2 linked regions of the Caenorhabditis elegans genome follow. The protein of the gene in region 1 purifies or fractionates together with the protein of each later gene. This does not show direct contact. Each region holds a gene or a part of one and is shown on either strand. Other genes may lie near its edges. The genes, in order: cee-1 and deps-1.

The links.
Region 2: the proteins of cee-1 (region 1) and deps-1 fractionate together in Caenorhabditis elegans (co-fractionation; one large-scale study listed by BioGRID). This does not show direct contact.

What each region holds. Positions count from the first base shown.
Region 1 is NC_003281.10:4,910,816-4,914,633, forward strand, and holds cee-1 (Get4 family protein), read left to right. Parts: upstream 1-1,883; 5' UTR 1,884-1,888; coding exon 1,889-2,054; intron 2,055-2,097; coding exon 2,098-2,314; intron 2,315-2,365; coding exon 2,366-2,726; intron 2,727-2,770; coding exon 2,771-2,921; intron 2,922-2,970; coding exon 2,971-3,164; 3' UTR 3,165-3,318; downstream 3,319-3,818. Other genes in the region: F26F4.9 (Glutaredoxin domain-containing protein), read right to left, coding at 1-83, 128-279, 1,192-1,352, 1,394-1,546, 1,608-1,623; F26F4.2 (PDZ domain-containing protein), read left to right, coding at 446-517, 565-669, 717-851, 900-1,133; rars-1 (putative arginine--tRNA ligase, cytoplasmic), read right to left, coding at 3,442-3,548, 3,606-3,818.
Region 2 is NC_003279.8:504,363-509,649, reverse strand, and holds deps-1 (P-granule-associated protein deps-1), read right to left. Parts: upstream 3,178-5,287; 5' UTR 3,174-3,177; coding exon 3,063-3,173; intron 3,012-3,062; coding exon 2,905-3,011; intron 2,849-2,904; coding exon 2,634-2,848; intron 2,586-2,633; coding exon 2,425-2,585; intron 2,374-2,424; coding exon 2,242-2,373; intron 2,197-2,241; coding exon 1,945-2,196; intron 1,896-1,944; coding exon 1,755-1,895; intron 1,707-1,754; coding exon 1,602-1,706; intron 1,553-1,601; coding exon 1,319-1,552; intron 1,269-1,318; coding exon 1,159-1,268; intron 1,113-1,158; coding exon 893-1,112; intron 846-892; coding exon 774-845; 3' UTR 679-773; downstream 1-678. Other genes in the region: Y65B4BL.7 (uncharacterized protein), read left to right, coding at 227-388, 436-678; Y65B4BL.4 (Dolichyl-phosphate-mannose--protein mannosyltransferase), read left to right, coding at 3,438-3,557, 3,601-3,830, 3,879-3,990, 4,045-4,144, 5,196-5,287. UniProt on the Caenorhabditis elegans protein: Component of P-granules which is required for P-granule formation and integrity in adult germ cells. Promotes the accumulation of glh-1 mRNA and localization of pgl-1 to P-granules. Involved in RNA-mediated gene silencing (RNAi) in the germline.

The sequences.
Region 1 (3,818 bases):
GCCAATCTGACTGCTTATCATGCTCAAAAACTTGAAATTTCGAGATATCGAGTCGATATGTTGACACCAATTGACAAACTTTTCTGTAAAACCTAATGTTTTTTGTTGAAAATGCCTTTCATTATACCTAAACTCTGGACAGTTGCTTTCTCCAAAAACCACAATTGGCGCTGAGTCCGGAATATTCTCCACAATTTTGATGGCTTTCTCGTTTTTATTGATAATTGATGTTTTTAATACAGACGATGTTGATGACGAGTGGCCAAGTACGTTACAAGTCTGAAAATTTATTTCTGTTAATTTCAAAATTCAAAAAGAGTAGAAAAGAATTAATAAATAAATAAAAAGTTCGTTCCGTGAAGCTCTACAAACTGCGTGTTTGTTTTTTTTTGTTGTTCAATATGAAAATCTTCGATTGAAATCAGTTTGGATTTTAGTTTCAAAGATGGCGGATGCAAATGCAACGATCTGTTATTTGAATGGTCTTTCTCTTCATACCATCAATGAAGTCGAGAAGGTATGTTTTTCAATGAAATTTTCAGACTTTCATTCTAAATCATTCAGATTTTGCTCGCTTTGCCAAAGAAAGGGGACCGCTGTGAAGTGCAAGTGACCAAACCGTTGAATGGAACCATCGGACGTAGTACTGGGGATGTCATTGCTTCAAAGGTTCAGTAGATGCCGGCTCAATTTTTAATAAAATTGCAAATTTCTAGAGCATGCAGATCCATGATGAGCCAAGACCATTGTCTCTGTCACCGCCTCTGCAGAAATCTGAGAAATCTTCGAAGAGCAAGAAACTTTCCGAGTACAGTTGCATGAGTTCGACTAAGGAACAAATGGAGACTGTGGTATTGCTCTTCAAAAAAAGTCCCCAAAATAATAATAGTTTTTTGAAGGAAATTCGCAACGGTTCCAATGCTTCTGCGGCAAAGAAACTCCAATGCAAGGTCTTGACTGATCAAGTTCGTGTCTCGCCAATCGTCTCGTGCAACGGAGTGATTTTGGAGTTGGATGTTGAAGTCACAATTCCTGATCGTGAGGAGAAGAAGAAATTGAAGTTGGAGATCGAGTGCCCCGATTTTGTGCCAGCTCGCATCAAAATTGGCAACAAATGGAAGAAAATTGTTTGAGCGAAAAAGAGTACGATTTGGAGGCAATAAATATTTTGTATTTGATTAAAGTAACTACCTTTTCTTGTTCTTCATATTCTCGTTGCCTTTTTTCGGCTTCTTCTTTCAGTTTCTCTTCACGTTTTGATGTTTCAATTTTCTCTTTCTCGTCGTGCTCTCGTTGTTGTTTCTGTCTTGCCAATCGCATCTTATCGGCTTCTCTGTCTTGAACTTGTCTATCTGAAACGTTTTATTGATGGATAAATCTGTGGTTTTCTTACCGAACTTTTTCTGCTCGATAAGCCTTCGTTCTTCTTCTCTCGCTACCATTAAGTCATAAATATACTTCTTGAAAAGAATGTATATTAAGATCACAACAAAAACTGTCATCCATCCGTAAACTTCAAGAAACGCCCAGGTGCTTGTTCGAAGATCTATAATTATATCGCTTAAATATATGCTCAACAGTTGAACTATTGAAATTCTCGTTATTACCTTGAAGAGTACCCATATTGCTTTAATAAACGTTGAATTATAGCGAAAAAACACCAAAAATTGACAACTTGTCTTGTCCGAGAGGAGTACACGACATTCGGATTCTCGGCCGTGGCCTAGAATATTAGTCAATTTTTGTGCATTTCCACGATTTTTCAACCAGTTTTATTTAACTTTTTTTTCGTCTCTAAAACCACAAAATCGAAATAAAATTTTGAGTTTTCTTGTAAAATATCTTATTTGAAATATTCTGAATACATTTTCTCTTTTTTTGAGATCAAATGGACGCCACAACTCTTTCGAGATTGTCAGAGTTTGAAAAAGAGAAAAAGTTTTATGATGCTCTTCAATTCTACCGGACCAAGGTCACACGCAGTTTCCGATTGAAAAATGCAAATGAAGTGGCTATTCCACTCGTTAAACACGCACTGGAATTCTTCTTCAGAGGTTTGAAAACCAAAATAGAAAATCAAATCTTTTTTATTTTCAGAAAAACAATATCAATGCGCCATCGATATCACCACACAATATGCCGAGTGTCTCTCGAAAAATAACGTTGATCTTGGAGAAGAAGCCTTCAATATTCTTGCTGATAGCGTCTCAAAGTTCGCTAATTTTGCAGAGATTGAGAACGAGGCTGGAAATTCAGAACCCGAACAGTTGTTGAACACTGCACGTTGTAAATGTGTTGACTTGGCCATTCAATGGTAGGTTTATTTGTCGAGGCAATTAAAATATTATTTGATTATTTAATTCAGGACAAAGCAAAAAGCAACCACTCCGATTGAGAAGAAATACGGTTCCGCAGCCTTTCATACTGTTCTCGCCAAAAAGCTAGTTGCCGTCGATCATGTGGAACTTGCCAAAAATCATTTCTTGCTTTCCGATGACTTTAAATCATTCGCCAATTTCCTTCACCAAGAATATGAAAGCTTTAAACAAAAAGAGTCTGAACCAGAAGTCATTATTGTTGAAGCCGTTTTTCAGTCACTCTGTCTCGATCGTTTCCCATTTGCCGTATCTCTTTTCACTGAATACGTGGCTCCTGCCAAGTATCCGTTCACAAAGCCATTGCTCAATTTCCAGCACATATTATTTGACGTTATTGAGACGGAAAACGTGAGTTGAAAACGAACACTGACTTTTAAAAACTGTTTTTCCAGCAACCTCAATATTCGGAGCTCACCTCTAGCTATCAAACAGAATTGAAAAGGTCCCTCGCATTCATTGGATATCTCACGAGAATTGGGAAGCTCTATTTCGGAATTCGTGATAATCAATGCATGAGCGGCGGTCTGGGTGGACTTTTTTCAGGTTCGCTTAAAATTTTAATTTAAAAAAATAATTAACACATTTATTTTAGGACTTCTTGGTGGTCAAAAAGAGGAAGAAACTGCAACTTCTCATATCACTTCTCGGACTCCAGCTCGTCAAAAGCCAGCTGCCATGTCTCAACCTTCTCCATTCGGTCCATTTGGCGCTCTTGCTGGTGCACCGGCTCCAGCTCCAGTTCCAAAGAAAATTCAAAAAGTTGAAATGGAAGAGGATCTCGATTAAGTTTAGATTTCATGTTAAACTATACCTTTTCTTATTGAAAATTGCTCCTTATTTACTGGAAATATTCCCCGATTACCCCTTTTTGTTCCGCTCTTCTTTCATGTGATATTGGGTTTAACTGATGCTTTTTATTGAATATAAAAATTCGAGTTTATTGGTGATAATAGGATCCCACAGTGGAAAACGTTCTGAATAGATAAATACGAGCCGTTGCAAAAAATGAACAAATAATTAAGAAACAACAACAAACGGGGATGATAGAAGAAAACACCGGTGCTCACATCTTGTTGACTTCGCGAAGTCCGAGAATCTTGAAGCATGTTGACATGACTTTTCGGGTAACATCACACAAAGCGAGACGATGCATATGGACAAATGGTTTTTCTGAAAATAAGATTCCATAAATTATTTAAAAGGCTCGACATGTAATTACACACATACCTCCTTCCTTATTTTCAATAACGTAACACTCGTTGTAGAAGTCGTGGAACAGAGTGGCCAACTGATATACGTAGTCGCACATTTGATGAAGCATAAGACTGTCCAAAACAAGAAGAACACAATCCGAGAGCTTCAACAATTGTTTGGCGAGTTTAAACTCTCCTGGATGATCCAATGGGAGTGTTGGTGTACTCGCAATGTATTTGACCAAAT
Region 2 (5,287 bases), on another chromosome or scaffold:
AGTTGAATGCGGAAAGAGTGTGTGCGCCTTTAAGGAGTACTGTAGTTTCAAACTTTTGTTTCTCGGGAAAACTGTAAAATCGATTGCAACAAAAGTTTGAAACTACAGTACTCCTTAAAGGCGCACACTCTATTGGCATTCAACTGACAACAAAAATTTGTCGTGGTGAGACCCGGCCAGTGCATTTTTTAGAGCAAAAATCGCCAAAATTTCGCATTTTTTGCAGTACTGTGACCTTTGCCTCCGTGTTTCCATGGAATTCATGTTCCCGGTGGGTGTGCTCATTGTGTTCTCGATCACACAGATTCTTATCACAGTATCTCCGGGAATGGCTTCTCGTATTCGGAATCCGATTCCATCACTGGCTTCGTTCATCTATATGTCATTTGTTTGTTTTTAACCTTCTGATACACCTAATCTTTTCTGAAATTTCAGTTTTTCAAGTGCATAACGAACTTGCTCACGTCTATCGCGATGCTACCCTATCTTGGATGTACCGATCAACCATCATTTTGGGGGGAGTATCTCGCTGCCGGCTTGTTGGGACTTTTCTGGATGTATTCGCTGCTTAACATGGGTGTATTCACTAGAATAACCTACCACAACTTCATTAGAGCACGAGAAAATTACGAGAGACAAGTTGTGCGGAATGGGATGGTGGTGGAACTTGAAGTTTAAATAAATAAATGTTTGGTTGGATAACGGGTAGATTAAAAATGAGCAGAACATTTGAAACACAAATACGGGGGAAAACGGGATGCGTATATATTTAATTAGACCCTGGAAGATGTTGAGCTTTGTGGAGTACCAGATGGAGTTCTGCGGCTTGAAGGGCCAACGAATCGCTGAAAAACTTGTTTTTATCATCTTCCAACCTTAAAAATAAACTTACGTTTGAGCTCACTGAAGTAGCTGCAGATGCTCTTGATTGAATTGATGATCTGGATCCAATGGAACTTCCAGCTGGCGTAGTTCTGGCCGATGTTGCTCTGCTCGAATTCGCGCTCATTGCAATCAACGGAGGACAGATGGCTGTCGAGCATACTTCCATGATGGTAGCAGCACGGCGACAATCATTGACAGTAATGGATTCACGGACCCATGCCAGGAACCTTAAAATTCAGTTACAATTATTTTTACAAATCCTGACACACTCACTTTCCTCTACATGGAGTCTCCAACTCTCTGAAATCCACAAATCCCATCGAATCACTCTCCGCCAACTGCTCATGATCGCAATTTGGCTTCAAGTACACTTGGAACAAGCGCTGAATATTTTCCTCATAGAATAAAAACTATTAAATAATTGAAGACTAACCGTATCACCAGAGACCGAGTAATTTTTACAAGTGAACGCTGGACATGGAGAACATTCGGTGATCATAATTTCACTGTCGACTCCAGCTTGTCGCTTTCCAACGAATTGAACTCCTCCGCCAATGGGGATTCCTTCCTTCAAGTTATTGGGGATTTTGAAGTAGACATTCGGATGTTTGGCACAAATGACAGTGTCTTCATTGATTCGAATTCCTTTGACTGGACCAACAACGAACTGAAAAATTCAGGGGTGAAAAGGACGAGTTTAATTTAACTTTAGAGACCTGAGTATCACGAAGCCAGTTTTCAAAAATGGACATTCCCGATGTACGAACAATGCGGTAACGGACAGATTTGTTTTCTGAAGTTCGAACAGCACGAACTTCGGCCTGAAAATTGAAAGCGTTTGTTTCAAAATAAGACCCACTCATGATTACCATAGCCTTCAAGAATTCATAACCAGCTGGATGAAACTCGAAGAATGAAAGAAGATGGTGTGGGTCATCAATCAATCCAAGAGTGCCCTCCTTGTCAACGAAGAGACCTCTGATACTGGCAGGAACGACGCGGGTAAGGAGCTGAAATAAAAATTATGTTCTGGACAAAAAAATCAATATTATAACTTACATTTCCGTTGACAGAGGTTACATGCTGTCTGAGAAGTGGAACTGGCTGAAGCTCATAGATCAGAAAACCGTTGTGCTGCATCGACCAAATAGCACTGAAATGAAAGTATTCTCCGACGGCTGGGTAGATCAAAGTCTTGTCCGTTCCTCGGGAAAATGGCTTCTGCAGTGGGATAATAAAGTCGAACTGCGAGAGTTCTTTGCAAATCAGTAGGCGTTCGCCGACATACAGGCCAAGCTGCATCTTGATGACCTGCAAAATCAAATTGTCAACGAGAATCCACAAAGCAACCTTAACCTCGGCCCATTTGTCTTCTGGCAAGTGCCAGCCTTCTCTCGGCTCGATATCAATTTCGTCGTCGCTATCAGCAGGCTTTGGATCCGGGCGCCAAACACCGAATTTAGAGTCAGGAGAGCCTGCGTTCCATGGCTGAAAGTTATTTGTTCAAAATCCCGTAAAAAATTTTTAAAAAGCAAATACCGCTTCACAGACGCGTGCTTGGTCGGATGGATCGCAACTGTCAAACGATTCGAATGTTGCAGTCATATTGAAAGGATCTAGACCACTCTTCATGGTAGTTTCGAATCGAATCCAGGCGTATAGCCAAACGTCTGGCTCCGCACGGGTCGCCTCTGTCTCTGCTGAAATAAATATATGGTTAGAGAGACGAAAATCAAGAAGAAACATACGCATGGTGACGGTGCATAATGGCGTCCAGAACGAGGTCGTTGAGGTGGGCTGGATGACGCCACCGACTTTCAAAATAAGTCCATTTCTGCTGGAAGACGCTTCATAAATTGGTTTTTCTCGTTTGATATGAAGGATTATCCTCTTATCGTGATCACAGTCCGATTCGTTCCATAGGATGACTTCACCGAACTTTAGCGGGATTTTGGATCGACGTCTAAAAATTCAAGTGTTAACAGATTAAAAATGGGCTCAAATCAAATAAATACTGACTCAAGATTTTTTGCCTCTTCGATATTATCGAAATTCCTCTCCAAGTTTGTTGGAACAAATGCGCACTTGGAGACACCGTACATGATGTTCTTCGGGGCCGCTTTTCCCTGAAAACGAGCTTATTATTTTAAATATGAAAACGGAGGGAATTCACGTACATGAGCTTGAATGAGATAAACGAGGTCCGTCTCCGAATCTTGGTTATCTTGTCCAGTGGAGGAAATGACGATACCTTGATAGTCAAAATATTTGGATTGGCGTTCTGACATTTTTGTCTGAAAATTGGATTTTTTGCAACAAAAAAATGATGAGCGAAACGAAAAAAAAGAAAAATCTGTAAAAAACGTAGGATTCGAAACAAATTTCCCACGAGAAATCAGATGCGCGGCGCAGTGGTCTCACCACGAAGAGCTACCGTACCTTAAAGGCACATTGGTGTTCAATGGCGGAAAAAAAAGTTTCGAATTTTTCCGTTTATTTTTCCATTAAAATTCTGTTTTAAAACTTATTTTTTCTGATTTTTCAGCGAAAAAATGGCAGATATTAGTATCCGCTCGACAAATTCCAATATATCTCGAGGAGCACGTCCGGAATCAGGCCGCCTGCACCGAAAATACCCGTATCGCTGGCTTTTCGATCAAGTTCATGTCAAAGTAATCGATTTTTTCCGTCTAAAAGCTAAATTTTAATTTTCAGAGCCTGATATTCCATGTGGAAGTGGGAATGCTCGCCATTGCCATCATCGGGCTCTACAGGGCCAGTCAAATGAGTGTCGACGAGCATTTCGAGCCGCCATCCGTTCCCGGCTTCGATGGACTTCAGTGGAACGGCGAAACGTTTCGAAACTTCAATGGAGTGCTGATCCGCCCGAATTATGTGCCGGCTCGGAATTTAATCAATATTTTCTCGTATTTTCTGATTTTTAGGTAGGGTTTCAGGGGATATTTTAGACTTTTTCCATCGATTTTCTTCAGCATCGCAACCGGATTCTTGGGAATGAGGCTCTCCGAGACGAGCATCACACGTCGAAACTTTCCCCGGAAAGTCAACCCGGCTCTTCTACTCATTCCATCCGCAATTTCTGTGGTATTTTGCTAAAAAAAATCGATATTTTCCCTTGAAAATCCTAAATATTTTCAGATTTCCATCTTGTACCCGCTCTCCGTGTGGACGCTGCGGACTCTTTACTCAATAATAAAGCTTTTAATCAAGGAGAATCTGAAATTTTCGATTTTGTTAGGTAGAATTTTTAATTTTTAATTTTTAAATGTGGACTACACCCTGTGGGGAAATTGCTTTAAAACACGCCTATGGTACCACAATGACCAAATATCACGTTAAAAAACTTCAAAAAAAATTTATAAATTTTATATGATTTTTTGAAAATTGAAAAAATCTGAAAAAGTTTTTGCCTAATTCCTATTTGAATTACCGCCAATTGAACTCGTTCGTTGGAGCGCGCTTGCATTATTTTTTTTATTAATTTATTCTATTTTTCTTCTATTTTTTCATTCCGTGATTATTTTCACTCGGGAATCGCTCGCCCACTATGGGGGAGTCTACGCAAGGACAACGCAAGGACAAGGACAACATTTTAATGGAATGGAAACGATTGCCCGACTGCACCAATTCTAGTTCAAGCGAACAATGATAACTTTTGTATTCTGTATTCCTTCACGTCTCCCAGCGAGCGTAATAAATTATTATTATTATTATTATTATTATTATTATTATTATGTCACTGATTTTCTTCATTAGTTGTGTATTTTTATCGGAAAGAGAAGTAAAAAAGCAAGATTAATGCAGAATGTTTGCTAAAAAGTGTTTAAAAATGTGAAAAATACGTAAAACTGTAAAATAATGAGTTCCGACGACAACAAACCTGAAACTAGCATATTTTTCAGTTTTACGCATTTTCAGTGATTTTTTAATCGGAAATTTGCATTTATTTTAACTTTTTCTCTAAAATTCAAGCAAAAATACACCGAAAACATTGAAAATCGGTGGAAAATAACAATAAATAAAATAAATAAATTTAAAAACGTGCAAGCGCGCTCCATCGAACAAATCCAATTGGCGGTAATTCAAATAGGAATTAGGCAAAAACTGAGATTTTTTCGATTTTCAAAAAATCATATAAAATCTAGAAAAATTTTTTGAATTTTTTAATCATGATATTTGGTCATTGTGGTACCATAGGCATGTTTGAAAGCCATTTCCCAACAAGGGTGTAGTCCACCTTTAAAGATTTTTAATTTTTAATCTGAAAAATCTTGATTTCTTCACTCCAGACGCCTGCCGATTGTCGTTTCTTCCCATCATCCTAGTGTGGGCAGTCTATATTTATTTTCTCTACGGATTCTGGCTAGGCGTGCTATATTAC